Lepisosteus oculatus: one gene and its partner. The protein of the gene in region 1 purifies or fractionates together with the protein of each later gene. This does not show direct contact. Links are inferred from orthologs where the notes say so. Each region holds a gene or a part of one and is shown on either strand. Other genes may lie near its edges.

Evidence for each region. The genes of interacting proteins can lie anywhere in the genome.
Region 2: the proteins of csnk2a2b (region 1) and nifk purify together in Homo sapiens (affinity purification with mass spectrometry; 3 studies listed by BioGRID and IntAct, with this or other methods). This does not show direct contact. The link is inferred for Lepisosteus oculatus from reciprocal best matches to the Homo sapiens genes CSNK2A2 and NIFK.

Annotation. Positions count from the first base shown.
Region 1 is NC_090715.1:11,437,029-11,445,393, forward strand, and holds the start of csnk2a2b (casein kinase II subunit alpha'), read right to left. Parts: upstream 3,310-8,365; 5' UTR 3,293-3,309; intron 2,815-3,292; 5' UTR 1,458-2,814; exon of another isoform or gene 1,379-1,457; 5' UTR 1,347-1,378; coding exon 1,243-1,346; intron 1-1,242. Other genes in the region: cfap263 (cilia- and flagella-associated protein 263), read left to right, coding at 4,245-4,339, 5,134-5,266, 6,051-6,227, 7,271-7,426, 7,896-7,976.
Region 2 is NC_090707.1:4,289,157-4,296,751, forward strand, and holds the start of nifk (MKI67 FHA domain-interacting nucleolar phosphoprotein), read right to left. Parts: upstream 3,424-7,595; 5' UTR 3,309-3,423; coding exon 3,192-3,308; intron 2,847-3,191; coding exon 2,718-2,846; intron 1,587-2,717; coding exon 1,478-1,586; intron 1,126-1,477; coding exon 914-1,125; intron 488-913; coding exon 422-487; intron 110-421; coding exon 1-109. Other genes in the region: high affinity cGMP-specific 3',5'-cyclic phosphodiesterase 9A, read left to right, coding at 4,606-4,771.

The DNA.
Region 1 (8,365 bases):
CTTTGTTTTTTTTCTGTGTGCCTTTGCACAAAAACTTTGTGGACTGGTCAAAATCTCGCAAGCCCACTGCCATGTTAAAATGAGCACTCTTTGTGATCACGTAACACAAGAACCAGACCCGAACCACATGGATAGAGCAGGCACACTGTTCTGGGCCTAATACACAGAACAGCTGGTGCAGAGAGACTACACTACAGGCACAAAAGTAGCGCTCTACACGTATGTGGGTACTTGGTACTTCGGGGACTGCTTGTCTCCGTCTGGCTCTCTTTTATTTACAATCTTCATCACTGCACTGGAACGATCAACGTAGAAAGCAGATGTCAGTGACTGGGAAAAAAGGGAAGGAAAACCCTAAAAAGGTGAACAATGCAGGCCTGCCTCAGGCCACCCTACTGTACCTCAAAGAAGTACACAACAGGCCCAGGCAGCCTAAAGCCAGACACCTGCTGTGAGCTCCCGGTACAGTCATTGGTGCTTTGCAATGTCCTCCATTCAACACAAGGACAATGTGCTTCCTTAATTCCAGTATCTCCCAGTGAAAATCACAAATTTCATTCATTTAAGTGGGTTTTTTTTACATTGAATACCCCCCACGTATACAAAGAAATTAGAAGCTAATCAACAATGCCTTGTTTAAACGCGTTTTTAAAAAACAACAACCACCTACTTTTAAAAAGAATCTTCCAAAAAGACCACACCGCCTGTGCTCTGTGCTCAGCTGTGGTCTTCGGTGACTTTTGGAAGCTCAAGAGCGGCGATTATTTCACAGCCATAAAACCGGACAGAAACAAACCCACACACAGCTCCTGAGGTATAAATAAAATTGGTCTTCCGGGGACTGCGGGTAAGCAAAGAAACTTCACGGCCTGATGGAGATGAGAATTCCTCTGCCATCGATTAGGCAGCACAAATCAGGTGCCAAATTATTCCGACTGTGCGTTGTGCTCTATTTGTCTAGCTGCCTCTACAGCGCCGGTATTACAGTCCCCCCCCAAGAAACAATTCAAGAGTTTAGGTATGACGACGAATTAAGCATTCACGGAGTCCAATTTTAAATGCTCGGCGGTTCAGGAAGCCGCACTGGAAGGCCTTGGCAAAAAGGCTGAAATGGAAACTTTCTAAGCCGGCTGCTGCGCGCTATCTACCGCGTCCAAAACGCCCGGGGTCTCGGGGTCCCGGGGTCTCGGCGCCCCCCGTGTTTTTGTTTTTTTTTCTCCCCCTGCGAGTTTCCTTCCTCACCTCCAGCTGGGCACATGTGCCTCGTAGTCCCAGTACTCCCGGCTCTTCAGAGTGTTCACGTCGGCGTACACCCGAGACTTGCTGCCCGCCGCGGGGCCAGGCATGGCTAGCCGGGGCGAGGGGGTCTGGGGAGCCGCTGCGAACGAGGGACAGCGGGCGGTTATCGGAGCCGAGAGGGGGCCGTCTGAGCAGGGCGGGCGGCTCCCGCCGGGTACCTTCTCCGGGGAGGTCTGGGCGCAGTGTCCGGAGAGCTCACGGCAGGCAGGGATCGTAGCCCGGAGAGCCAGGCAGAGCGGGGACCCAGGCTGCAGGACGCGAACGGCGGCGGCGGCGGGGAGAGGGAGGAGGAGAGGGATCGCCAGGGTAATCAGCCCGGTGAGGAGACGGAGCGGGAGGCGAGCACCTCCGGAGGCGGTGGCGAAACCCGCGCAGTCTGGAGTTTCAGGTTTTGAAAAGTGGGGAGAGGGGGGACGGGGGTGCCGTGAAACTACTGACTGCAGGCGAACCCCCCCATCCCGCTGTGGGCCGCGAAACCCTTGATCCGGAGACAGGGAAGCCCGCTGAGACTCCCCCGGGGTCCAGGCCCTGCGAGAGGCGGAACGGATCCTCGGGTGGAGGGGGGGGGATGGGGATGGCGCCGGTGCCGTGGATGTTGACGAAAAACGGTCTTACAATCCAGTACTACGGGTCTACAGGATGTATTCAACGCAAAGCCGGCGTGTGTGTGTGTGTGAGTTGAGGGGTGGTATGGGAAGGTGTGTGTTTGCGGGTTGGGGGGGGGGAGGAGATGATCGGCGCTCTCGCTGCCCGGTGGTGATCGAGCGGATCGATGGCCGCTTTCCCTCTGCGCCCCGGCCGGCGGGACCCCGAAAGCCTGCGAGCGCCGTCCAAGCCGCTGGAGGAGAGCGGGGAAATCGCTCCGGAGGTCGGATTCGGGGATCTCTATGGGAACCCCCCTCCCCCGGCCAGTACCACAGGCAACCGGATTGCGGCAGATCCACCCGGAAACGATCGCAGCTTCGCGAAGATGGATGCGACCATAGACGAGCGGATTACGACTAGACAGCGCCGGGCCCGACCTTGTGGCGGTGAAGAGCTGCCGACTTCCGGCAGGGCTTGAAGAAGAAGAAGAAGAAGAAGAAGAAGGGGGGGGGGTCTGTACTGCTTCGGTGTGAGCCTTGGAAAAGTGTTTCCTGCAAATGCTCGAATTGAGAATCAGGCTCCGACAGCAATAAAGTTAAACTGGCCGTCAAGCCCCCCTTATCGGTCACTGCATTGAAAGAGGCTGGCAGTGTGTTCAGTAAAGACAGGCGTGTGCATGTCGTCTGGTTCAGAATTTACCGGTTCTCTCGTTTTTTTTTTAAATCTAAACCCAATTCGGAAGCACTCATACGAGGTCAGAGGACGCGTCTAGCTCATGAAGCACGTCGATTTGTTCCAGCTGATCGCATTGCTCCTCTTTAATCCTGGGGCGTTACGAGACGAGCTTTTTAAACCGCCCGAGAAACTGGCTCTTACTGCCGCCTTTCACGGTTTTGGAACAGGATTCAGTTATCACCAACACGGTCATACCTGCAAAAATAAAATAATATTAAATAATATAGTGTTACGCCGTTGTTAAAGTGGCTAGGTACAATTAATAATATACATTTAGCCTTATTCTATTCTTACCTAATAATATTCACCTCTTCATTTAATAAGGCTGTATGGCTTAAAATTATACATTAATTTCGTTTTAAGGGGCATTTTTATAACCCTGACCAGCAGGGTTTTAACATATTGTTAAATATTGTAAATATCCCGTTTTCTCGTGGCTGTACTGATTTATTTTTTTAAAATATATTTTTTTAATGTACTGAAAGTCATTAAACCGCCACAAATACTATGGCTTCCAATGTCCATTTGCTGCATTTTTAATATCTCTTAGTCAACGTTAGAAGCAGAACTGAACTTCGCTGTGTCCCTTTTAGCATGCGCAACCTTGCACGCAATAGTATAATCCTCTCTCTGACAAGAGCAGCGCTACCGGGCTGTCAGTGGCCAACCTTACCGCCGCCTACTGGAAGGGAGGAATCCGGTCTGCAGGTGCTGCAATTAATAATAATAATAATAATGTTAATAATGTTTCTTTATTAGCCCTATACAAGTTCTTGCATTAGGAATTCGTCTTTTCGCATACCCCAGCTTTTCTCCAAGGAGACACAGACACACAGACAGGGAGAAGCTTGGGGTCAGAGCGCAGGGTCTGCCATTGTACGGCGCCCCTGGAGCAGTTGGGGTTAAGGGCCTATTTAGGAGCCCTGGAAATGAAATATATATATATACACGCAGCGCCATTCCTGACATATCAGCTCGAGGCTCTGGAGTAAAGACGTTAGAAACGCGCAGATGGACGGCATCAAGAGTCATTGTATAACAGTATAGAGGGATTTTTCTTTAGCTCACCGGGCTGGGTCCCTGTTGAGTAACGCGGAAGTCCCGGGTTCGAGCCCCCGACGGTGGGGGGCCGACCTAATGCGGCAAGGGCCCCCGCATCGTAAACGGAAGTTTAACACTGGATGCTACATATTGGCAAGATGGAGGGTAATATATTACACTGATTTGAGTTCAAAATGAATAAGACGTTGTTGTTTGTTACCTGGAAACCTGCTTGCTATTGCAAAGGTGTGGCATTATTTATAAGTGACGTGTATCGACCGATTTTATTGATGTATAGCGACACATTATTTTTTTAATGTCCCTATTATTTGTTTCAAGTTGCAATCTTCTCTACCCACACAGTGGGGCAGTAATGTATGATTCAGTGACATTAACTCCTGGTCATGGAGGGCCGGAGTACAAGATACAATGAATCGTGAAATAAGGAAACACTTGAAAAGACCGGCAATATTGACACTAAATTGTCTTGCAAACCGCGGTGGCGTCATCGCCTGACGTCACGCGCCGTGTGTGACGTCTACGCTGGTTGCCAACTTCAGCCTCGCTTGTTTATCCTGGCAACCATGGCGGAGGCAGAGTGCGAGTCCCAGGCAGACGACAATCCGGAGTTTTCCGAGCTCGGGGCGCACGAATTGGTGTTGCTCGTAGAAGAACTCAGGTACTGTAAATAGAGAGAACCAATCGGTGTGGAAAATGTGGACGAGGGGAAGTTCGGATAAGGCGTACACCCTGATGTACACGGGATAGCTTGATCAACAGCTTCTGAAGCTAGTCCAGAGCAAGATTGACGGCTCAGAGGGTACTTTTGTTTTCAAGCGTTAAAAGCTCTCACATTGAAATACCACAATACAAAAACAAAATACCTGCAGCTCCTGCGGTTGGTCTGTCTATCCTACTATTCTGGTTAGGAGCACATAATTCCATGCACACTTATTTTTTAAAAATCACTTCTTTGAGATGTCGTGTTTTCTTTTGAACTGTATACTAGCTGAGCATTCTAATTCAACTTTGCATGCAAGAGAGAAGGCAAGGTACGAACGACAAGGCAGGAGAGGTGCTCGACTAATCTCTAGACTGCACCTCAGCTTCCGATTGCTCGTGTAACCAGGAAAATGCGCACAGCTCGGGTACTGTGTAGACTAACACTAGGCAAATGAAAGTGAGCTGCGCCAAACGGCAAAAACAGGTGTTTAAACGGTTGAGGGCCTTATAACCGCACCGGTGTCGTATCCGGTAATTCTGACCTAAATCCCGTCCGACACATGTGTGACCGCAATACGCAGCACGTCTTGCAATAGATAGATACTTTATGACGCCTACGTGGGCAGAAGGACGTAAAAGTGCGCTACGGGTAGGAAACCAGTAGCGTGAGGTCGCTGAGCTTGAGAGTCACTTCCTAACACCGGAGAACGCACGCGTGAGCAGCCCCTGTCCTGCCTCTTGTGTCGCCAGCCGCTCCAATGGTGTCCTCAAGGCCGAGACGGAGATGTTCCAGAGGTACATCAGCCGCCTGGACCCCAAAGACCTGGCTCCGGCGGCCGCGGCGGAGCCCACCCTGGGCGTGTCCCAGGCGGAGGTCACCCAGGTATGGTGGACATGCCCGTGTGGGGCGCCCCGGCTGTCTCTGCCGCAGTGGGGGGGGTTACTTGGGTCTGTCTCCGATCTTACAGCAGCACCTGTCAGTGAGCCGAGATGTGTCATTTTAGGGATGTCAGAGCCCAGATCTCGTACTCTAGACGTCTTGTTCGGTTTTCTTCTTTATTTTTTAATGACTTTAGTTTTCCATTCTCACCTTAAGCATTTCCCGTGGATTGTGTTGCTGCAGGGAAGGGCTGCTTGCTGCACATAGTGATTATCACACCTGCAAAGCTGTCTGAAAAACGTTAACTTTCTCTTTCCCTTATCCTTGAGGTACAAGGACACCATCATGTACTTGTGGTACATTCACACACACTTTTTAAATTTTGGGGGGTATTTTTGGAGGCAGTTTTTAGTAGAATTGACAACATATATGGAATTAAGACGATAAAGAACAACGTAACCAGAAGCCATCAAAAAGAGCACTACTGAGAGAGCGCAGGGCACGCAAACCCCTAGCAAGCGCTGGAGAATTCAGGTTTCTTATTCAGTTCCTGGCACATTTTGAGTCAGTGAAAACAAGCTGTCGGCATCAATGTGATGTCTTTCACAACACACACGAGGGACTCTGCGAACGTTGCCCCCAAGCTTCGGGACAGTAATGAAACGGTACATCTGTCTGTCCTGACACGCGTGAACCCGCCGCGTTTCGTGGAACGAGAAGAGGCCCGCCGTCGTCATAGCCAGCGCTTCCCACGGCTGGCCCTGACGCGGCTCGGTCTCGTCCGCAGGGCCAGGGCCAGGCCCGGGGCCGGAGCAAGTCCAAGAGCCGCTCGTTCACGGCCGAGCGGCTGCAGCGGCTGACGGTGGAGCAGAAGTGCGACGTGGCCCAGCGGGAGCTGGAGGAGACGAGAGAGGACCTGGGCAGACTGAAAGAGGCCTCGGAGCGAGTTCTCAACAACTACAGGGTAGGAGCTGGGCGCAGTTAAAGCGGGAGGGAGATGTAACGCTATTTTCAGAGTCCGCTGTTAGAATCTGCATGGATGAGCGCATTTCAAACCACAATTAGAGTGCAATGTACACAGTAGCGTGTAAACCTCCAATTTTCTGCACAAAATAGATCCCATGTCTACGTTTGCGCAGCACCATGATCTGCGATTTAGAAGGAGGCGACCAAACTCTGGTGAGGTGAAGCGGCCCCATTACATTGTAAAGAAGCCGGCTTGTGAATACATCTCTAAAGCCAATAGAAATACTGCTCTCGATTTCGAGACAGTTTGCTGAAAATTCAACTTAATTGTTAAACTCTGCACATTGTAGACATTTTATGGAACATCAGATTTCCATTTCTGCGGTAAAATGTCTGCTGCACAACCTGTACGTATTCACTGGTACATCCCATTACATTAGCCATTACAGTGAATAGTGAGCAGGAAGGGCAGCATCATGTCACAATTTGTGGGAACTCGAGTGTGAGTTTATGACAACATCCAGTACTTTCACTAAGTTCACAAATTTGTGCTTAATTCAGAATTTCGACATTTTTCCCCTATAATGTCAATGACTTTATTTTGTTACCGAGATTTAATAACCAGTGTGAGAAACTGGGACTGCAGTTCTCATTAATAACTCGCCTGTGTGCCAGCTGTCCCCTAGGCTGCACAGACCCTGGCTGGTTCTCACTGTGTGTTGTGCTGTGCTACATCAGTGCTTCCGGTTTACACACAGAAACAGCTGCCATGTCCAGCTCTAGGTTATGATATCTGCAGTGCTTTGAGAATCTGCTAGATGAGATGCTGAGTTAACCACAGACATTTTATGGCATAGTAGTGTACAGGACTCCTCTCACAAATCTCTAAGAATGTCGAAGTCAGGGATCTCTGGGCTGGTACTCTGAATGGTAGTTTTTCATGGTTGAGCTCCAACATGCTTATCTCTTGCTGGGGGTGGAGCTGCATGCCTTTGCTTGTGGCTTTTGCCATTTTTTCTTGTTACTGTGTTGACCTCCCAGGCCACTACAGAAGAGGCTGATATCCGGCTGGTGGAAATAAAGAAGGCCACGTATGAATTTGAGCGTGATGTCGCCCGGGTCCTGCAGGAGAAGAGAGGTGTCATGATGGGGGCAGAGAAGGTAGTGCGGTATATCGAGGACAGAACCAGGGCAAAGGTGAGCAGGCACAGGACGTGTGTGAGAACAGGCAGGGTACAAAGACTGGGGTCCCAGCCAATGCAACAGCCTGGCCATTAAGTAGGACCTTGATCTGCAGCTTAAAAGAGAAAAAAAACAGGGTATTTGCACAAAATAGTGCATTTGTGTTATTGCTGCAGATCTTTGAGTGGCATGCCTTTAATTAGTTAATTGTTCAGTTCATCTCTTAGGTTTTTACTCTACAAGTTGGCACGCTTCCATTCCACAGAGTATTAGTGTGTCCTCGAGGCTGCTGTCTTAGTGACATCACGTTGGAATATCCTCGAGGCTAGGGACTGTATCACTCACGGCAACAGGACATACATTATTAACCTTGAGACAATGGCAGCACCTAGGATTGGCAGTTCTCAGCCAAATGGATGTGTGCAGGACCAGACAGAAGTAGCCCTCTCCTTACTCCTGTTGTTGTCCTGACTGCCTCTTCCAGGACACACTGGCAGAGAAACTGCGACTGAAAAATGCAGCCCTGAAGGTGCAGAAGAAGAAACTACAAATGCAGCTCAGACAGGTAGGAGCTCCACGTGTTTGAAGTCTTTTTGACGTTCTTTATGGTCAAGCCGAAAAAGCACAAACAAGAAAAATGGCTGTCTTAACACAGTGTAAGAAGCTCCAATAGCAATGTTAACAATAGGCTAAGAACATCTCAGATCATCTATGTACAGATGAATCATTTACACATTAGTGAAACCATTGTATTTTAAGAAATACTTGTTACTGATATGGTAAATTGTCATATTGGTTATTGTCAGAGTTTTACTATATTTTACCATGTTTTCTTAACAACAGTATAGTACTTCATACTTTACTATGGTTATTACTATTACACACTTTATGCTGTTATGTTAATACACTTTTAAATTGTATTACCTTAGTAAGTTTTAGTCTGTTACAGTATAG
Region 2 (7,595 bases), on another chromosome or scaffold:
TTGGTGCAGGTGTGGCCTTGATTATAATTTCATCATCACCATCGCTGTCCTCCACTTTCATTGACTTTCTTTTCTCCAACACAGTTGGTGTGCAGACTGGCGTGACATCCTACAGACACAAAGAAAAAGACACACGCTGAGTACAAAGCTTCCTAACAGGATGCCCTTTGAACATTAATAATTTGTTGCAGGGAAAAGTCACAGAGAACACACCAAAATTGATAACAGGTTAGATCTTATAATCTTCCCTGTCACTATGCGGGGAGAAGAAACCTTTTGCAATCTTAAGGGCTCATATTATGGTGCCTTGAGTTGGTTGACTGAATCATACATGCAAGTCTCAGAGTTAAATTGTACAGCTTTGCATGTTTCCTACTCGTTTTACAATACGTGTTTTAAAAGACACATTAATACAACATACTAGACTGTCAGTCATGGAGGCCGAATTCTCTGCAGAGGTCTTCTTCTTTTTGGATACTTGGGCAGACTAAAAAAAGAAAAAAAAAACATACATTATGAAGCCATTTACAAAATACCATTCAGAAATATTAAGAGCACAGTACAGTTATTTCAACTTCTGAGAACCCTTTCATGATGAAGCAGAGTTAAGCGATAGCCACACACCCCTGCATTAGCTCAGTGACAAAGGCCCTGTTTAGTTAAAAACAACTAGAAAAGCAGCAATTAAATATCACTTTTTAACAGACGAGTTATGCTAAAGGGCCCCAAAAAGTTGCACGAGTAGTGTAGATAATTATATTCAGAGATGACGTTTTTATTCTACAGACAGACAGCAAGAAAAAAGGAAAATAATCTGTTGAGAAGACTTTGCAAGGAACGTTTTTAGGACTATACCACCGCACAGGCAGTACCCTTATTATAGAGCTATTCAGGCAGTTTTAAGCGGACTTACAAATCCCGGGAAATCATAATCTATTCCTTTCTCTGCCAGCCTTTTTCTTAAACCTGCTTCCTTTTGTAAAAGTCTGCTGGTCATCTGCGCCTTCTGCCGAGGTGTGCGCTTCCTGTTGTAGCGGCCGACCGCCGGGCGCGAGGGCTTCTTAAACGGAGTCTGACTTCCTTTGAAAAGCTCCGGCTTCACCTTTTCGGGTGGGATAACGTGACCTGCGGAGCAAGGCACAGAGAAGTTCACCCCGACTCCGTGCGTGGAACGGTCCTGAGTGATTTCTATGTGGATAAAAAACAAACAAACCATCTCTTTGTGCTCCCCCCTCAAACTCAACCAGAGCTCCCACAATAACCAGTCACACTGGTGAGACCGAACTGATGTAAGAAAAATGGAACTGGCACCAAAAGGACACCGCCGCCTTTCTATAATCTAGCACTTCCCAGGCTAAAAGGACAGAAGTCAAGACTTTTCAGAAAATTCTGTTCTTAAAAGAGAGATTTTCGGACATACACATTACACAATCACCGCAAGTGTTCCAGAAACACACTTCATCCCTCCCTTACTTACATTTTATGAGCCTTTCACGCAGGAGATAATTGTTCATCGTATCTGCCACTATCTTAGCCACTTCGTCGCACTCAAATTCCACAAACGCATAGCCCTTGCTGCCACCTGTCTGAAAACCAAGAACAAGGTGAATGAATAAAGCAAGCAGATGCAAGGATTTTAAAATTGCATTTAAAATCCTTTTGTCCATGTGCTTTGCAGAAATGTATTCTGATCGAGGGACAGACATGAAGTCAGAAAGCACACATTTGTTTTCCCACATCAGAACCCCCGTTGCGCTCTTTGGCCCAATTAATGGATATCTTTCGATCACACACGCCTTAATCAGTATATTGAAGAAGAATGATTTTTCTTGTTCCCTTATTAAGAACACTGAGAAGAGTAATAGGTTAAATAGCTTCACATGCTTTAAGGACGAAGAGTTGATTGAAACATTCATTTCACAATGGCAGTTTGAAAAATACACTCTCTGCTCCTTATAATCTAAGAGTGCTCCTTTTCGAAGGAATAGTTGTTATGCATAAAAGCTATTGCATTTGCTAAAGGACTAAAATGTTCTGTTAAATGACCAATAGTGACACTAAAGGTAGGTAGGTTAGGTCCCCTTTTCAGGCCATCCAGGCCCATGGGGAATGTGGGGGCAAGGGCCACCATTGTTCTCAATCATCCCACACTGGAGGTGGAGGCGATGTGGTCAGCACCACGCTCCGGCGGGTCTATTACCCCCAGAAGGATTAACCCCCAGTCTGGTACTCATGTGGAAAGCAGGCTGAGTGGACCTGGGAGCCGTCTGGAAGGAATCAGAGCTCCATCGCTTGCCCCTCCCTGGGATCGAACCCGGGACCTTCCGGTCAGGAGCTACCACGGCTCCAACGACACTAAACATTTACAGAAATTTAATTTTGTTCATTACCAAATTGCAAAAGTAAATGCGTAGATATTCTCAAGCAAGACCACAAACATACAGGGACATTAACTGATGCAGTAACTGCATAAAACAAAAGAAAACCTTAACAACTAATATATTAGAGATTACAGATGACAATTCATTATGGAACTATGAAACGGTTTTACTTTGCAACAGTATCTGATTTTTCCGTATTTACTTTACGTATTAGCGTATATTTTGTAAGTTCTCCTGTATAAGGGCATCTGTTAAGCTTAATAACAGCACTGCAATGCAAGAACTCTGGAAATGCCTATATAACGGAACCCACATCTGTAATCTAAAACGTCCCACCTTTTTACTCCTGGACAGTCGTAACCTTTGAACTTTGCCAAACTGGGAGAAGTACTGTCGGATCTGAGGCTCGAAGAACCCATTGGGGATGTGGCCGAGGTAAATCACACCTGGGGTCAGCCTCTCATGCTGCCGAAATGAATCAGGAAGAAAGTGAAGGAAACAACAAACACAACTCTTAACAAAAAAAGCCCACATTAGAGGCGGATAACTTCACATTTTAAAGGGAATGCTCTCGCTTCAGTAACATGACGCCACACGTAGGCTGCTACTGTGTTCCTCCTCGCCTTCATGTCACACATGCCCCGAACAGCACCCGCACAATTTTATTTCGAAATATTAAAGCGCATTTCGACCTCGATGACTTCCTTGGCTACACCGTAAAGTTTAAAACGCTCGATTACATACAGATTGATCTGATCTCGACCTTTTAATTTACACGCTCTGTTTCTTTGATGGTTGGAGTTCGCTTACTTTCTTAGATCGCTTTTTCACTTCTCGCACTTTGTTCTTAAATTCAGCCTCTTCGCTCGGGTTCAGAGCGAGCAGGTTCCGGGCGGCTGGAGCAGGGGCCGAGCTGCCTTCTGTCATCGTCGACGAAAATGATCAACCTTTTCTTTAAAGCGGACTATTTTCCTCCTATTCCTCCACTCAATGCAGCACCACAACCACGTTGTTTCTTTGCACTTCGTACCAGAGAAAGCAAGAACTGAATAGAGCAACTTGGGGGGAAACGACACTTTCTTCTTCTTTAGCGCCCCCTGTCTACAGGGAGGATTAAGGTCTTCAGCGGCAAGCTGTGAAAGGCACTGTAAATGCATGAGACTCGTCTACGGCGAAATGAACTGTTCCCACACAACATTTTAAACCCGATTTTTTTAAATAAAGATTTTATTTACTTGACAAACCAGCGGGTACAGCAACTGAAAAATGTGTTGCATAGTTTTTTTGCTCGTTTATTTGAACAAATGTTTTCCTGCACTCGCCTTAGTTTCCGATTACTGTGCTGGAGTGACCTATTCTTCTCCCCCTCGGTGGTTTCTCTGACACTTAGTCTAGAATATTGGTTGACTGGTGTTGAGCCACACCATGCCCTTCCTGTTTCACCCCAGTGTAGCTGGATTAAAGTTTGTGTGCCACCTGCGTTTAGGTCAGATTCAGATTTAATGCTGGGTTGTGGGTAGAGTTCATGCCCTCCTCCGTTTGAGAAGGATTGGGGTTAGGAATACCTGGGCTATGAGGGAGTCAATTTCTGTGGAAATGAGTGGCGACTGGTCGAGGTGCCCCTATTGCTTTGGCACCAGTTCTGTTCGGGCCCCTGCTACTGATGAAGCAATGTCTCGAGTTCGTCTGGCAGTGACCAGGCGCCGGCTACAGGTTGCCTCAGTAGTTATGGTTTATGGTTGATACTGCTTCTGTAGCTCTGAGTCCCCTGCCCTCTCATTCCAGTATCCGCTGACCTGGGAAAAGGGATGAGGTTTGGAGGGGATGTTAAGGTTACTTTTGGAGGGTTGGTGTTAAGTTTAATTGCTTTTACTTGTGATTTTGAGTTCCAGTGCTGAACTCTTTTATCGCTAAGAATGTAGAATTTAATTTTCTCTGGTTTAGGGTTAGGGGTTAGTAGTTACGTGTTAGGGATTAGGGGTTATGGGGTATCACCTAACTTCGTCACCTGCATTGCAGCAGCTGTGCATGGCACTGTGCTTGCTCACTGTGTTGTGTTTAAGGAATACTATAATAATACGTTTGCAGAAGCTGCCCAGATCCAGCAGCAGCTTCTGGTGGGAGGGGAGATCTTTTCATTGAAAAGAAAACTGCAGAAGATGCAGACTGTGTTTTGGAAACAGAGAGAGAGAGAGAGGACAGAGGTGTCCCTCGTTTAAACGTGATGCTTGAAGTCTTCAACAGCAGTTCGCAGTGGAACCGGAGAGCGAATGATTCCCACCCGCAAAGCTGTTTTCTTCAAATGGCAGCAAAAATCATTTATTTCACGGTGAACGGGAGAGCAGAGCAGGCTGAGTTCCGAGAAGACTGTCCTGCACAAGATGTGAAAGGTACAGTAAGTGCATGAGACTCGTCTACGGCGAAACGAACTGTTCCCACACAGCATTTTAAAGCGATTAGTTAAAAATATGTTTGATTTACTTGACAAGCCAACGGCTACAGCAACTGAAAAATGCGTTGCCTAATTTTTTTGCTTGTTTATTTTAACACGATATATATATATTTTTTTTAAAAGTGTTAACTTTTAATACATATTTTGGCTCTCTCATGATTTCTTAACTTTCATCACGTTGACGTGATCACGAGCTTTTAATTGTAATGGAGTTTTGGTATTTTAAAGATATTTAATAAAAGCAATATTTGATGAACATATAGATCTTAAAAAGTTGAGAAAATGGGGCTAATACGTGGATGTACTGACATATTCTCTAAAGCAGTTCTGTCTTCTCGGGTTTTTCCCGTTTAATTGAATATTACCGGATATAAACACAATTTCACCAGTGTTGCGAATTGCGAATAGTTTTGCAAATGTATCATTCTCTACTACAGCAGTACACATTATTAATTTTTAGAGATCATCCATTACAGATAGTGGAAGTCTGATAGAGTAGCTAAAAGCGAAATATAAGAAGAAAACTGGAAGGAAGCGATTGGAAACACCTGAAGCAGAATTTAGAGGCCACTGAATCTACACAATATAGACTACTCAACCAGTGGGAGGGTATAGCACAGTGGCCAGACACTGGGTACCTGCTTGAGTATCATTTGTATGTTAAATATCTTATCTGGACACGAAATTTTCTTGAGCTCTGGAACACAAGTTAACGTTACTGTTGGTTTACAAAAATAAATAATTTATAAACTTTGTTCCAAATTACAGTGTCAACCCCATAAACAAAACCCAGCAACGGGCAATTAACCTGAATTCGAAATCAAACCATGTTTTCTGCATGGTACGGGCTTACCTCAAGCCAAACTAAACAATGTATCGATTAAAATATCCAGTGAAGCAGCACAGGATTCTACAGTGGGGGACTACTGAACAGAATGGCCTTTATGGGTTTTTAAAAGATTTTAAAGTATGGAAATTACTTTAGGCCTTTTTGCTTTTTTCCTTTTAAGACGCTTTAGGTAAAATTTGCCTATTGTCAGGTTCAATCAAACTGTAAAAAATATTGACTTGTGAAAAATCATATTTCTGTCAATATGGATGCTAAGAAAAAACATCAATATCTGAATTTTTAAAATGAAATCCCTTCTCAGATTGCTTTTCCCTTTTAAACAGAGACACAGGTGTTTTTGACAGAGAGGTATTTAATTGAAGAGCATAAGGAGAGAAGCAACATATGGTATCCTGAGCTTTTAGACTCAACCTTTTTTCTTCCACATAAAGAGAAATATGGTGGGAGGAAACAACATTTTTGGGCATATCTAGGCACAAACCCAGTACTGAAAAATGTTTTACAGATGCAACAGAGAGTGTGATCTCAAATGTGCTGACAATATTTGCACCTTATTTAAAAATAACTCTCATGACCGAAGCCAATATTGTCAAAGCTCTGTGTTAGTCACTCTTTCTCCTTCCCAGCAACCTTTTCAAAGTCTGATATATGTGATCTCCTGTGATGGGCATAGTTAATACTATAAAGGAACAAGTAACGGTCTATTTCATCCTAAAAAGCAAAGAGACACAATGTTTCATCTTCTTCGAGTGTTACTACTATAGTAGTTAACACTTCTCTTCCTGTGATCTATTGTTGATAAGATGACTAATTTTAACAACCCCAGAAAGAACATTCAGTTATGATGACCCACTGCCCTCAGGTTTCTCAAGAGTTTAGTCAATTGCAACATCTGCCTTACATTAATAGAAATAAACCTCTTCTGCTAAAGAGCTTTCAGTGAGACGCAGAAGTCTAAAAAGAATCTCTATGCTTAACAATACGTTAAGATGGGGGAGATGAACACAGGAGGACATGCAGTCAGGCTGGTTCAGTGTGGCCCAGAGCCCAGCTAAGACTGCTTGACAAAGACTGTGAACCAGCTGATTTGCAAGGTTATTTATCCTAAACTGTAACTTTAAGTGGTCAGAGCGCAGCTTGATATGCCCCTTTTATTGGTTATGTGACAGTGGTCGAGGGTGTTATAGCCTCTGGTCGCCGTGGTGAAATTTTGGCAAAACTTTCCCGAGATTGCAGGCCCCCATAAAGATCAATGCGGCATCGGGCTTCAAACTTTCGTGTTTGTGTTTATCACGCTGTACAGTTCACCAAGCGCCGCCTCAGCATTTGCTTGTGGTTGGATGTAAACAGCGGTTAGAACAGAGCTAAATTCCCTAGGTAGATGGGCCGGCATTTTACCATGAGAAACCTGTGAGAGAACAAATCTTTAACAAGATGAAAGACCATATGAGAAAGCAAGGAGGCAACATAAAACCGCAAAGCATTTGACTTTGAAGAAGCAAGATTTCAGGGTCTGAACAGATTTTGTTTTTCACTAAGACAGAAACTGTGTTCAGGGAGGTGAAACAAAGAGAAAGGTTGTCACGCCTATTGTTGAAAACATAGTGGAGTACACATCTGCTTTTTTTCCACAGGCAAGGCTGGCCTTTGTATAATAGAGACATCAATTAATGCAACAAAATAACGAGGTGTTTTGCACTGTGGGGTGTTATCTAGAGCCACAAGAGCTTAATAATTGGGCTGGAGTTCCTACTCCAGCAGGATAATTAACCCAAGTCTTCTGCAAGGTCTTCAAAGACATTTCTGAAAAAAGATTTGAGTTATGGATTGGCCACTTAACTGTACATCCCCAGGGCTGCTGTTACAAAGATGCCTAACACATCCTCAGAAAGATGCGAAGAACTGGTATAAA